Linked DNA regions of Elephas maximus indicus. The protein of the gene in region 2 interacts with the protein of the main gene of each other region in a pairwise test. Links are inferred from orthologs where the notes say so. Each region holds a gene or a part of one and is shown on either strand. Other genes may lie near its edges.

The links.
Region 1: the proteins of FATE1 (region 2) and CCDC70 interact in binary tests that used the Homo sapiens proteins (3 or more experiments, as listed by UniProt). The two-hybrid records come from large-scale screens. The link is inferred for Elephas maximus indicus from reciprocal best matches to the Homo sapiens genes FATE1 and CCDC70.
Region 3: the proteins of FATE1 (region 2) and AGTRAP interact in binary tests that used the Homo sapiens proteins (3 or more experiments, as listed by UniProt). The two-hybrid records come from large-scale screens. The link is inferred for Elephas maximus indicus from reciprocal best matches to the Homo sapiens genes FATE1 and AGTRAP.

Annotation. Positions count from the first base shown.
Region 1 is NC_064832.1:25,625,933-25,629,682, reverse strand, and holds the start of CCDC70 (coiled-coil domain-containing protein 70), read left to right. Parts: upstream 1-814; 5' UTR 815-1,060; intron 1,061-3,750.
Region 2 is NC_064846.1:4,708,359-4,712,108, forward strand, and holds the start of FATE1 (fetal and adult testis-expressed transcript protein), read right to left. Parts: upstream 2,539-3,750; coding exon 2,436-2,538; intron 1,473-2,435; coding exon 1,316-1,472; intron 1-1,315. UniProt on the Homo sapiens protein: Involved in the regulation of endoplasmic reticulum (ER)-mitochondria coupling. Negatively regulates the ER-mitochondria distance and Ca(2+) transfer from ER to mitochondria possibly implicating it in the regulation of apoptosis.
Region 3 is NC_064821.1:51,597,885-51,601,634, reverse strand, and holds the start of AGTRAP (type-1 angiotensin II receptor-associated protein), read right to left. Parts: upstream 2,599-3,750; 5' UTR 2,524-2,598; coding exon 2,497-2,523; intron 1-2,496. UniProt on the Homo sapiens protein: Appears to be a negative regulator of type-1 angiotensin II receptor-mediated signaling by regulating receptor internalization as well as mechanism of receptor desensitization such as phosphorylation.

The DNA.
Region 1 (3,750 bases), on a different chromosome or scaffold from region 2:
TTAGGGTTAGACAGAATTTGGGAGAAATTTAACCCCCTCTGTCTCTTGTACACTGGTGTCCAATAAAGCCCTCTTGCTGCTTACCTTCTCCTGTCTCAGTATTGGCTTTGCGTCAGGCAGCTCGAATCTGCAATATGAGGTAACACCACTGTGTTAATCCACCTCGTTGAGGGTCTTCCTCTTTTCCAGTGACCCTGTACTTTATCAAGCATGATGTCTTTCTCCAGAGAATGGTCCCTCCTGACAACATGTCTACCAACAATAGAACGGATAAACTGTGACATCTCATACAGTGGAATTATAAATGTTAATGAAAATGAATGACTGCTACATGCAATGACATGAATGATCTTATAAATATACTAATGCACACACACACACACACAAATCCAGAGACAAAAAACATATCCTGTGTGATTCCATTTATATAAGAATAAAAAACCTGCCAAATCTAGTTTATGGTAATACAAAGAAGTGGATACTTCAAGGGTACCTTCATTACTCTAATCACAGAATTTTGGTAAATACTTTCTGAATTAAGTTGGTGGCACAGGGTCATTTTCAGTAAGCTCAGGAGAGATGAACTGGGAGGAGGGTACACAGAGAGGTTATCTCTTGCCCTGCTCCTCCCCCACTATTCCTGTCCAGTTTTTTTCTTTCCTCTGAAAAGCAGGGTGATTTATAAAGCATCTGCCACTGTCAAACCCCCACTGAAACCTGATTTCCCAGAAGCATTCTTCTGGAATGAACCCAAGCAGCGCGTGAGGTAACAATCCCCTGCCACTCATCCACACTGCTAGTCTTCTGTGAAGTCAAAGATGGAAGATGGCAGAGTCTTTCAAACCTTTCACGTTCTCTCTCTTCTCACTGAAGCCTCTTACCCTGGGTCCCAGCTTGGCCCTACCCACCTTGTGAGTCAGGACTGAGAGGGAACAGAGGGGTCATCGCAAGCAGTATTGGGGTGAGCCCATGAAGATGACATCGCCAGGGATCTGATGTGACAATGACTGCCTGCCCTCTGAAGGCTACAGGGCTTGCCCAGTTGGGAAACAGCTAAGTGGTAAGTAACTGTCGGCTTTAGATTTGATAGTATTGGTTCTAAGCATAGGGTTAGATATAACGTTCCCTGAAAAAAATTTCTTAGCCTTGAAGTATAATGATGGTGAGAGACACATTTCTTTGATTTACAGTTTTATATCTACATAGATACACATCTGCAGTTTTACACTGTACTTTACGTCTAATTTGGAGCCTTGGTGGCGAAGTGGTTAAGAGCTCTGGCTGCTGACCAAAAGGTCAGCAGTTCAAATCCACCAGCCGCTTCTTGGAAATCCTATGGGGCAGTCCTACTCTGTCCTACAGGGTCACTATGAGTCAAAATCAACTTGACAGCAATGAGTTTGGTTTTTGTTTTTTGGGTTATGTCTAAATTAATATATAAACCCATTGCCATTGAGTCAATATCAACTCATAGTGACCTTATAGCCATATACTTCATGTTATATTTCATATTTTTGTCAAAGATAATTTAGTTATAACTTCAGAAAAACTTAGAGATGAATATTTTCCAACATACTGAACCCAGGAGCTACCATCCGCTTAGCAAACAGTTACCAAACACCTACCCTGTGCTAGGTGCTAGACCTAGGAATGGGAAACAAGGTGCTCCTAGTGGGACAGGAGAGGCATTAACTCAGCATAAGCAGACCAGGGGTGTCAGGAGAAGCTTCCTAGAGAGGTGACTTAGTTTCTTAGTGCTGCTATGACGTAAATACTGTGACCCTAATACTCCCCAGCATGTTTTCTCTGTTTCAAAACGGGAAACTGAGAGCTTCACATAACTAACGCCCTGATGAACCTGTAAGGTTTTCTCCTTCCTCTGCTTGCCTTCTCCTTTCCACGTACCTCTGTTAATGACTTTGTTTCAATCTGATGCAAATAACTTTGTTATTTATTTTGATCTGATGCTAATAACTTTGTTTTGTTCTGTCCAACCACCTGTGACTTACAACCCCCCACAGGGAAATCAGAGCCCAGATGTCTGACATGTATATCTTTAGCCTGATAAGGAGATGCCCAGCATGTATCTCTTTAGTTTGAAAAAGAATCTCTTGTCATTATCTTGTAATGAATAACTCCTCCTGCCACGCCATCTGCAGGCTACAAAGGTATTTCTAACCCTAGTAAAAATCATGTGTAAGCTCTGATGTAAAATTGCCCTTTGGGTCTCCATAGAGACAGCTTGCATTACTGTCAGATTCCTGTTGGTGGCCACCTCCTAAATAAAGTTTCTCACTCTTTCTGACTTAGAGTACATTTCATTGGCTCTACTCCTCCAGGGCACAGACCCTAATCAGGCAACAATACCACAAATGGGTGGCTTAATGAACATAAACTTATTTTCTCATAGTGTAGGAGGCTAGATGTCCAAATTCTGGGCACTGGCTCTGGGGGAAGTCTTTCTGTTGGCCCTGGGGGACGGTCCTTATCTCTTTTCAACTTCTGTTCCTTGGTTCCTTGGTGAGCTTCGTGTGGAGTGTACGTGCCCTCCATTTGTGCTTCCTCCTCTGTGCCTAATCTACTCTTTTATATCTCAAAGGCGATTGTCTTAGGACACACCCTATGCTGATACGGTCTTATTAACATAACAAAGAAAGTCCTATTCCCAAATGGAATTACATCCATACATACAGAGGTTTAGGAATTGCAACACATATTTTTGGGGGGAACACAATTCAATCCACAACAGGAGGTGACTTCGAGGATTTAGCTAGGTGAAATGGAGTTAGGTAAGGCCTTCCAGAGAGAGAGAACAACAGGGGAAACAGCATGGAAGTGTGGGAGAACTTGGCAGTTTGAGGAGTTTCTAGATGGCCAAAGTATAGTTGTCAGAGGAGAGGGCTGAGAGAATCTAGAATCACATGTAGGCGAAGATTATGATAGTCCTTGTTTATCACCCTATCATACCCATACCATACTCACTGCCGTCGAGTTGGTTCAGACTCATAGTGATCCTATAGGACAGAGCAGAACCACCCCATACAGTTTCCAAGGAGTGCCTGGTAGATTTGAACTGCTGATCTTTTGGTTAGCAGCCGTAGCTCTTAACCACTATGCCACCAGGGTTTCCCATATCACCCTATGCAGATAGAAAATACACAAAATAGTCATTATAATTATTCTTATTTCCTACATTTATTGAGTACTTGTCATGTCCCAGGCACTGTTCTAGGCACTCAACATCCCCAATTCATTCCTCACCAGAAACCTATGCGTATAAAATATAGTCCATGGTGAAACAAGCCCACAAAGAGTCTGAGAAAGAGCAGTCAGGGAGGTAGAAGGAGAACAGGCTGGCCTGGGGCCACAGAAGTCAAGGGGGAAGAGTTTCCAAAAGGAGTAGCATCGAATGCTGCTGAGAGGTCAATGAGCATGATGACTAAACAATTAGATTTTGTTGTTGCTGTTAGGTGCCGTCAAGTCGGTTCTGATTCATAGCGACCCTGTGTACAGCAGAAGGAAACACTGCCCCATCCTGCCCAGTCCTCATAATTGTTACGCTTGAGCCAATTGTTGCAGCCACGGTGTCAATCCATCTAACTGAGGGTCTTCCTCTTTTTCACTAACCCTCTATTTACCAAGCGTGATGTCCTCCAGGGATTGGTCCCTCCTGACAACAAGTCCAAAGTATGTGAGACGTAGTCTCTCCATCCTTGTTTCTAAGGAGCATTCTGGTCATACTTCTTCCAA
Region 2 (3,750 bases):
TTTGTTGTTTGTTTGTTTGTTTGTTTGTTTGTTTTTCTTTTGAGGTAGCCTGGTTTGTTATTAACATATCAAGATAATGAGAATTGCCGTAACCACATCTCCAGATTGATGATGCCCTTTCTTCCCATTGCCCATGATAAGGAAGGCCCCACCGTTCATGAAGAGTTGTTGCCTTTTTGATTTTTAATTTTAGATACTCTCTACTTGGCATTGCATACACTGTAAAGCATAAAACTTTTATGTTAACAGGATCAGCATTAAGAAAATCTATGAACTGTGCTAAGTCCCAGCTTCCTTCCATCAATTGTTTTTATTTCTATGTACTTTTGAAGGCATGCTATTTTTTTTTTTTAACTCACAGGATAGTATTATTATTATTTGTCTTCAAATGCTATGGTTTTCCCAGAGGCACGAACAGTTTCGTTAATTCTTTTATTTTCAGATAGATAGGTAAAATTAATAAATCAAGTAGCATACTTCATTTCTAAATTCAATATGATGTCTGTAATTTTTAAAACTGCACTCCTCTAGTCCTAATAGCTAAATTTCATTAACCCAGTGGTGACATCTCCCTCAGTCTCAGGGGCACGGGTCGCATCCTGGAGCCTGTCCTGCAGGAGCAACTTGATTTGGCTTTGGACACGGGAAGCCAGTTCAATATTTCTGGCTTATTTTCATTCACAAGCTGTCTCTGACTTGGGAGACCTTTTTCTTTTTTTCCATTGGGGGTGGGAACATTTCATCATTTACTGTAACTAATTCCCTAGAACGGTCCGGTCTCCTTTCCTCTAAAAATGATTGCCTTTTCCCAGTATCCTTTGCAACAGTGTAACTGCCATTTTTTCTAGAATGTTCCCTCACCCACATTGAATGTAGCTTAAAAGACTGGCAACAGATTTTTGTGACTCACGTGATTGGATTTCCTAATGGCCAGGAAGCATAGAAGCCTCACTTGCCTCACCCTAGTCCTGGCCCTGAAAGATTGATAGTTCAGATTTGGGGCTTTTTTTTTTTTTTTTTTTTTTTGGTTTTTTAAATAAAATAAAGTGCCATTTCACACATTCTATAGTTATACAGAGTAAAGTTATATGTACTCCCCAAGCAATATATGTTTCAGGCATTCTAGACTCCCAAGGGTTGAACTTCAGCTTACCAAAGGACGACCCTGAGCCTCCTGCAGGTCCTCCCAACCCTCAGTTTCCTGCCTGGCACACAGAAGCTTCCTCCTACCCCCACCTCAACATCTGGCCTTGGTCCACCTAGCATGGTCGACTGTAGCCCCTACAGCCAGTCTACCCAATCCCAACTCTGTCACCGAGTGCCAAAGGTCCCATACAGTACCGCTTTCTTGGGTCGGGGAGCATTCGTATTCCAAGCTGGTGAGACTCCAGTCGAGCCAGCAGCCTTTGACTCCAACTTCTGTCGCCGCTGGGAGCCAGCACCCAGGGACCGGAACCCACGATCCATCATTTCTAGGAAGAACAGAGGCCCCAGGAATAGCCATGGAGTTTGTACCAGGGCTTCCTAGGCAAAGGACACACCACGAAGAGAACAGGGCCCCCAAACCTCTTGAGGATCAAACTGCGCCATTCACCCCTGTCCAGCGAGTGACCCCAGCTCTCAGTTCAAAAGCTCATCAAGTATTTACTGAAGGCCCAGTACCGGAGAGAGAGCAATGACTAAGAGATAAGACCCCAGCAATCAAGGAATTGACTGTCTGTGAGTGTTTAAAGAGGAGTGGTTGTGCAAAACAGAAAATAATTAATGTAAGTTCAAAATAAAGAGATAGAGGCACCAAAAATGATGAAAATGGCAACATGATGGAAGGAAAGGACTACTTTTAGGAATCTAGGGAAAGAACATCCCAGATAGAAGAAATAGCAAGTATACAGGGATTTGGTATTGCTGTACTGCTGTGAGGGAGGCACAAGCTCAGGGTGTGATAAGGACAAGCATTAATGCAGAGTGGAGAGGCCGCTGTTGTGTGTATACACCACAGCCTGAGGCACTGAGGAGGGACCCTGGTGTCGTGTAGACCAAGGTCAGGCAAGGCACTAGAGGAGTGGGAGAGAGAACTGGTCTGTGCGGTCTTGTGACTCGAGTCTTCTGAATGTTTTGCAATCACTGCAGTGGTGGCTTGGACAAGGGAGAGACAAAGGGCACACACATGTGGCCCCCACCCTCCTCCCTCATGGGTTGCTCTGGGTTCAGTGACATAATGCGTAAGCTGCAAAATGCTCATATCATGAACCCCTGTCCCCTCAGCACATAAATATATGCACACCAAGGCACACACACATACATTCCCTCACACAAGTACAAACACATATATGCACACACATGAGTGTCCACCCAGGCACGTGTACACCTCCTCCAACACACACATGCCCAGGTGCCAACCACCTCAGGGAAGGGACGTTTTAGGGCATCCTCACCTGTCATCAGCTGCTCCTGGCTTGGCCCTTTGTCTCCAGGACACCGCTCTTCTGCCAAGGACGCTTCCATCTCTTCCTTGAGGCTAAGGGGGCCTCCTGCCATCCCAATCAGCTATGGCCAAGGACGTGCAAGGTGCAGGGCCCAGAGAGGCACTTGGAAATCCACCTCTTTGAAGGGTGGGAGCCCCAGAAAGATATACCCAGGCCTGGGGGTGGAGCCAGACTCCCTTTCTGGGCTCAGGCCTTGGGCCCAGCACCTTCTGTTCCTGCTGTATCTTCTTGGCTGTGTTCGAAGCCTTCTCCCCTGCTACTCTGTAAGCAACTCAGGAGAAGAGATAAGACTTCTCTGCCTGTGGGAACTGCTCTGACTCCTGGGTCTCCTGCCATGGCCCACTGGGGACGTGGCGGGGGGGGGGGAGTCCACCCTCCATCATGGTTAGGGAGAGGCAGGAATAGGGGCAAGGCCCCAAAGTCAGGCAGCAGCCAAAGCAGGGCTAGCTCCCAGGCCAGTGGTGGCTTCATCCAGTCTCCCACCCCCATCCAAGAAGGAACTCTCAGCAGAGCACACCCTGCCTCCGTACCCAGGGTGCCTATGCAGGGGAGGCAGCCTTTCTCTGACCTGGGTCCACCTGGGCAGGAACCATGAGAACCAAGGGAGGGAAAGGCAGGCCAGGAGGGACCTGCCTCTAGCAACACGGCTCCTGCATGCAGGAGGTTGGCCAGTGGCCATGTGTGAGTGGTGGGCTTCAGACCCAAGATCCCAATGGGAGGCCAGGAGGCCTGAAGCTCTTCCCCTCCCAGAGACCAGACAGTTGACCCTGGAGAGGAGAAGGGGGCCCAGAGCACATCTGGCTTATGTGTGTGTATATGTTTGCAGTTTTTTTCATACAAATGAGGTAATACGCTACATGGTTTTCTGGCACTTACTTTTTAAGCGAACAGAGGGCCTTGGGGATCTCCCCACGTCAGAGCAGATCAATCTCAGTTCTTTCAAGATAGCCCAGCTTCACGTCTGTGTATTGTTCATACACTTTGAGCTTTTGGATCCGGTGTCTTTTCTAAACAATGTAGCAGTGAGCACTCCTGGACAGGCCTCCTTGCACATATGTGCCAATGTGTTTGCAGGGCGGGTGCCTCGAATGGAATTAGAGTTCTAGGCTATATGTAAGGAGCCCTGGTGGTGCAATGGTTAAGTGCTCAGCTGCTAACCGAGGGGTCAGTGGTTTGAACCCACCAGCGGCTCCAAGGAAGAAAGGCCTGATGATCTGCCGTCAGAAACATTTCAGCCTAAGAAACCCTATGGGGCAGTTCTACA
Region 3 (3,750 bases), on a different chromosome or scaffold from region 2:
GGAAATGCTCACAATCATTAGCCATTAGAGAAATGCAAATCAAAACTACAATTAGTTACCATCTCACCCCAACAAGGCTAGCATTAATCCAAAAAACACAAAATAATAAATGTTGGAGAGGTTGTGGAGAGACTAGAACACTTATACACTGCTGGTGGGAATGTAAAGTGGTACAGCCACTTTGGAAATAGATTTGGCACTTCCTTAAAAAGCTAGAAATAGAAGTACCATATGACCCAGCAATCCCACTCCTTGGAATATATCCCAGAGAAATAAGAGCCATCACATGAGTAGATATATGCACACTCATGTTCATTGCTGCACTGTTCACAATAACAAAAAGATAGAAACAACCTAGGTGTCCATCAACAGACAAATAAATAAATTATGGTACATTCACAAAACAGACTACTACGCAACAATAAAGAACAATGATGAATTCACGAAACATCTCACAACACGGATGAATCTGGAAGGCCTCACGCTGAGTGAACTTAGTCGCAAAAGGACAAATATTGTATCGAGACCACTATCATAAGAACTCAAAAAAAGGTTTCAACACAGAAGAAAACATTCTTTGATGGTTACGAGGGTGGGGAGGGAAGGAGATGGGTATTCACTAACTAGATAGTAGACAAGAATGATCTCAGGTGAAGGAAAGGAAAAACACACCACACAGGGGAAGTTAGCACAACTGGACTAAGCCAAAAGCTAAGAAGTTTCCTGAATACAACCAAACACTTCGAGGGACCAAGTAGCAGGGGCTGGGGTCTGGGGACAATGGTTTCGGGGGACATCTAGGTCACTGGGCATAACAAAGTTTATTAACAAAATGTTCTGCATCCCACTGCAGAGGGTGGCTTCTGGGGTCAAGTTACTTACCCTCTCTGAGCCAAAGTTTGCTCATCTGTCAAAAGTTTGCTCGGGAGGTTGTTGTGATTAAATAATTAATCCCGGCACACCACAGATACTCCATAAATGAGAGCTCTCTTCTTTCTTTTCAGTTCCTGCAGCACTGTCCCTCACCCGATTCTCCCATTTTTAGCAATTAGTTTGTGCAAATCTCTAATCAGAGGAAAGGCAGTCAGCAGGTGTATACCTTCTACATTAAACCCAACCCACCTGGAATAGCATAGGTGCTCAAAAGACTTGGGTACTGATACCAACAAACCTCAGATGGCCTCATGTGAATTTCTTCCCAGCTAAACTTTAAACCCAAGTCCGACCCCTTGTTCCAGGGATCTCTCCTCCCATCTGCTGATTGAAAAGAAAATCTGCACCCAGGTGAAATCACAGCACAGGCATGTCTAATCGAAACATAGATTATGAGTCGTTTTGGAATCAGCCACCCCTGGGTTCTTCTTGCACCAGGCACCACACCACGGGGTGCTAAATGGTTTGTCACTCCTGAGTAAAAGGGCATTCCTGGATATGGTCCCAAAGGAGGCTGCACCAAGACCTTAAATGGGCGGGTTTGGTCCAAGGTTCAGCCTTCCAGACCAAAGCTAAGGGCCCAGCCCCTCTGTCTGCAGGCAGAACCTAGACGAAGGCTGGAGGTGGGCGGGGAGAAAAAGAAGAACAGCCGCTGGCATCGTGACAACGCCGAAGACACAGGACAGGAAATGAAGACATCCCAGGAAGCCCCACAGTGTCTTCCAAAGTGCACAATGTGGGGTTTTTCTGCTCGCTTGAAATAAGAAAGCTAGACTTAATAATTCTGAAAACCACTTTCTGGCAACATCTGATTTTCTTAAATCTCCAAAACGAAAACCAAACCTGTTGCCTTCCAGTTGATTCTGACTCATGGCGGGCGACCCCATGTGTTACAGAGTAGAACTGCTCCATAAGGTTTTCTTGGCTGCAATCTTTACAGAAGTAGATCGCCAGGCCCTTCTTTTGCGGTGCTGCTGGTAATCCAGTTTAAGCCGCCCACCTTTAGGTTCACAGTCAGGGCAAACCATTTGCTCCACCCAGGGGCCTTTTCTTAACCTCACTGAGTGAATAAAGGAGGCTAGCAGGACCCAACTGGGGGCCCAAGTGAAAAGTGTGGTCTCAGCGTCTCCTTGGGGGAGATGTGGCCCAACCTCAAGCCCCTGCCGCAGGCGCTCAGTGGGCCCCTCCCCCCGCGCCTGCCTCCCTCCCCACAGGAATTCTGAGCGTGTAGGCCCTGCAATCCTCCGGGGCGGAGCTCCCAGCTGGAGGAGGCCGGCTCCGGGACCAGGCGGCCCTTCCGACCCTGGTCAGCCTCCAGTCCCCCCTCTGGATCCTCCCTGCTCGCTTTTTTCTGGATCCCTCCTCCCCGCTGAGGCCTACCTTCCCCACCTCCTTCTCACCTGGGGTGGTGTCCGTTCCCTCCTCCCCTTTCTCCCTGCCAAACTCTCCGTCCTCCCGCCTTTAAAATCCTTTATAGAAAGCAAACACCCAACACACTCCCAGATACCCGCCGCCCCGCCTGCCCGCGGCGTGGCCACCTCCGCCCCGTCCCGCCCGTCGTACCTTCAGGTTCACGGCGGGCAGCTCCATCCTGACCCAGGCCCAGTGCACCTGCGTTGCAGCGGTAGGAGCTCTTCGGCTCCGAAGTCTGGAAACAAACTTGCCCGGCCCCGCCCCGCCCGTTGTAGCAACTCCAACCCTATCCGCGCTCCCGGACCACGTGAGCGCGGCCCGGTTGCTAGGAGACGGCGTCGGTCTGTTCCGGTTGTCTTGTAGCCTCCTGGCTCCTGGACTGCCCAGGCAGTTCCTGGGGGCCCGCAGGCAGAATATCGGGGTTTCTTGAGCAAAGGGAGCGATGTCCTGCCTGGCTAATATGCCAGCAGGTGGTGACACCTGGGCTGATGAGACCACCTGCAGTCACGAGAACCTGGGGGGACTTCCAAGTGCAAACTGTGGATGTAGCGACAGCTGGTGTCTCAGTCCCTGGGGCACCCTCTCAACTTCCTCTTTCCCGGTGTTAAAATGGAGACATTTACAATACCTGCTAGCTTTGAGGAGCCCTGGTGGTGCGGTGGTTAAGAGCTCGGTTGCCAACCAAAAGGCCTCAGTTCAAATCCACCAACAGCTCCTTGGAAACCTTATGGGGCAGTTCTACTCTGTCCTGTAGGGTCGCTATGAGTCGGAATCGACCCAAAGGCAGTGGGTTTGGTTTTTGGTGTGAGTGCCAATGTAAAGTGCCCAGAAGAGTGCCTGGCACTTAGTAAATGGGCAGTACACACAGCTCCCTGGGTGGTGCAAATAGTTAAGCACCGAGCTACTAACCGAAAGGTCAGCTGTTCAAATCCACCCAGAGGCACCTCGGACGACAGGCCTGGTGATCTACTTTTAAAAACTCTATGCGATACAGTTCTAATGACACACATGTTTAATCTGAGCCTGTTAGTGTGTAATAAGACCGTGAGCAATGATCATCTCATAAGGAGAGAATGCAAAACAAACAATTTATGTGATTAGAGCTGACATTTATTAAGTACTTATTTTGTTGTAAAAAAAAAAAAACCTTCTGACTCATAGAGACCCTACAGGACAGGGTAGAACTGCCCCAGAGGGTTTCCAAGGAGCAGCTGGTGGATTCAAGCTGCTGACCTTCTGGTTAGCAGCCAAGCTCTTAACCAGGGCTGTGAAAAGCACTTCATAGTAAATGCTTGCAACAACCTCATGGTGTAGGTACTATTCTTATTTACAGTTAGGAAATTGGAGTTAAGAGATATTATGTGGCTTGCCAAAAGTCACTTCACTGGCTAGTACTACAAGTGG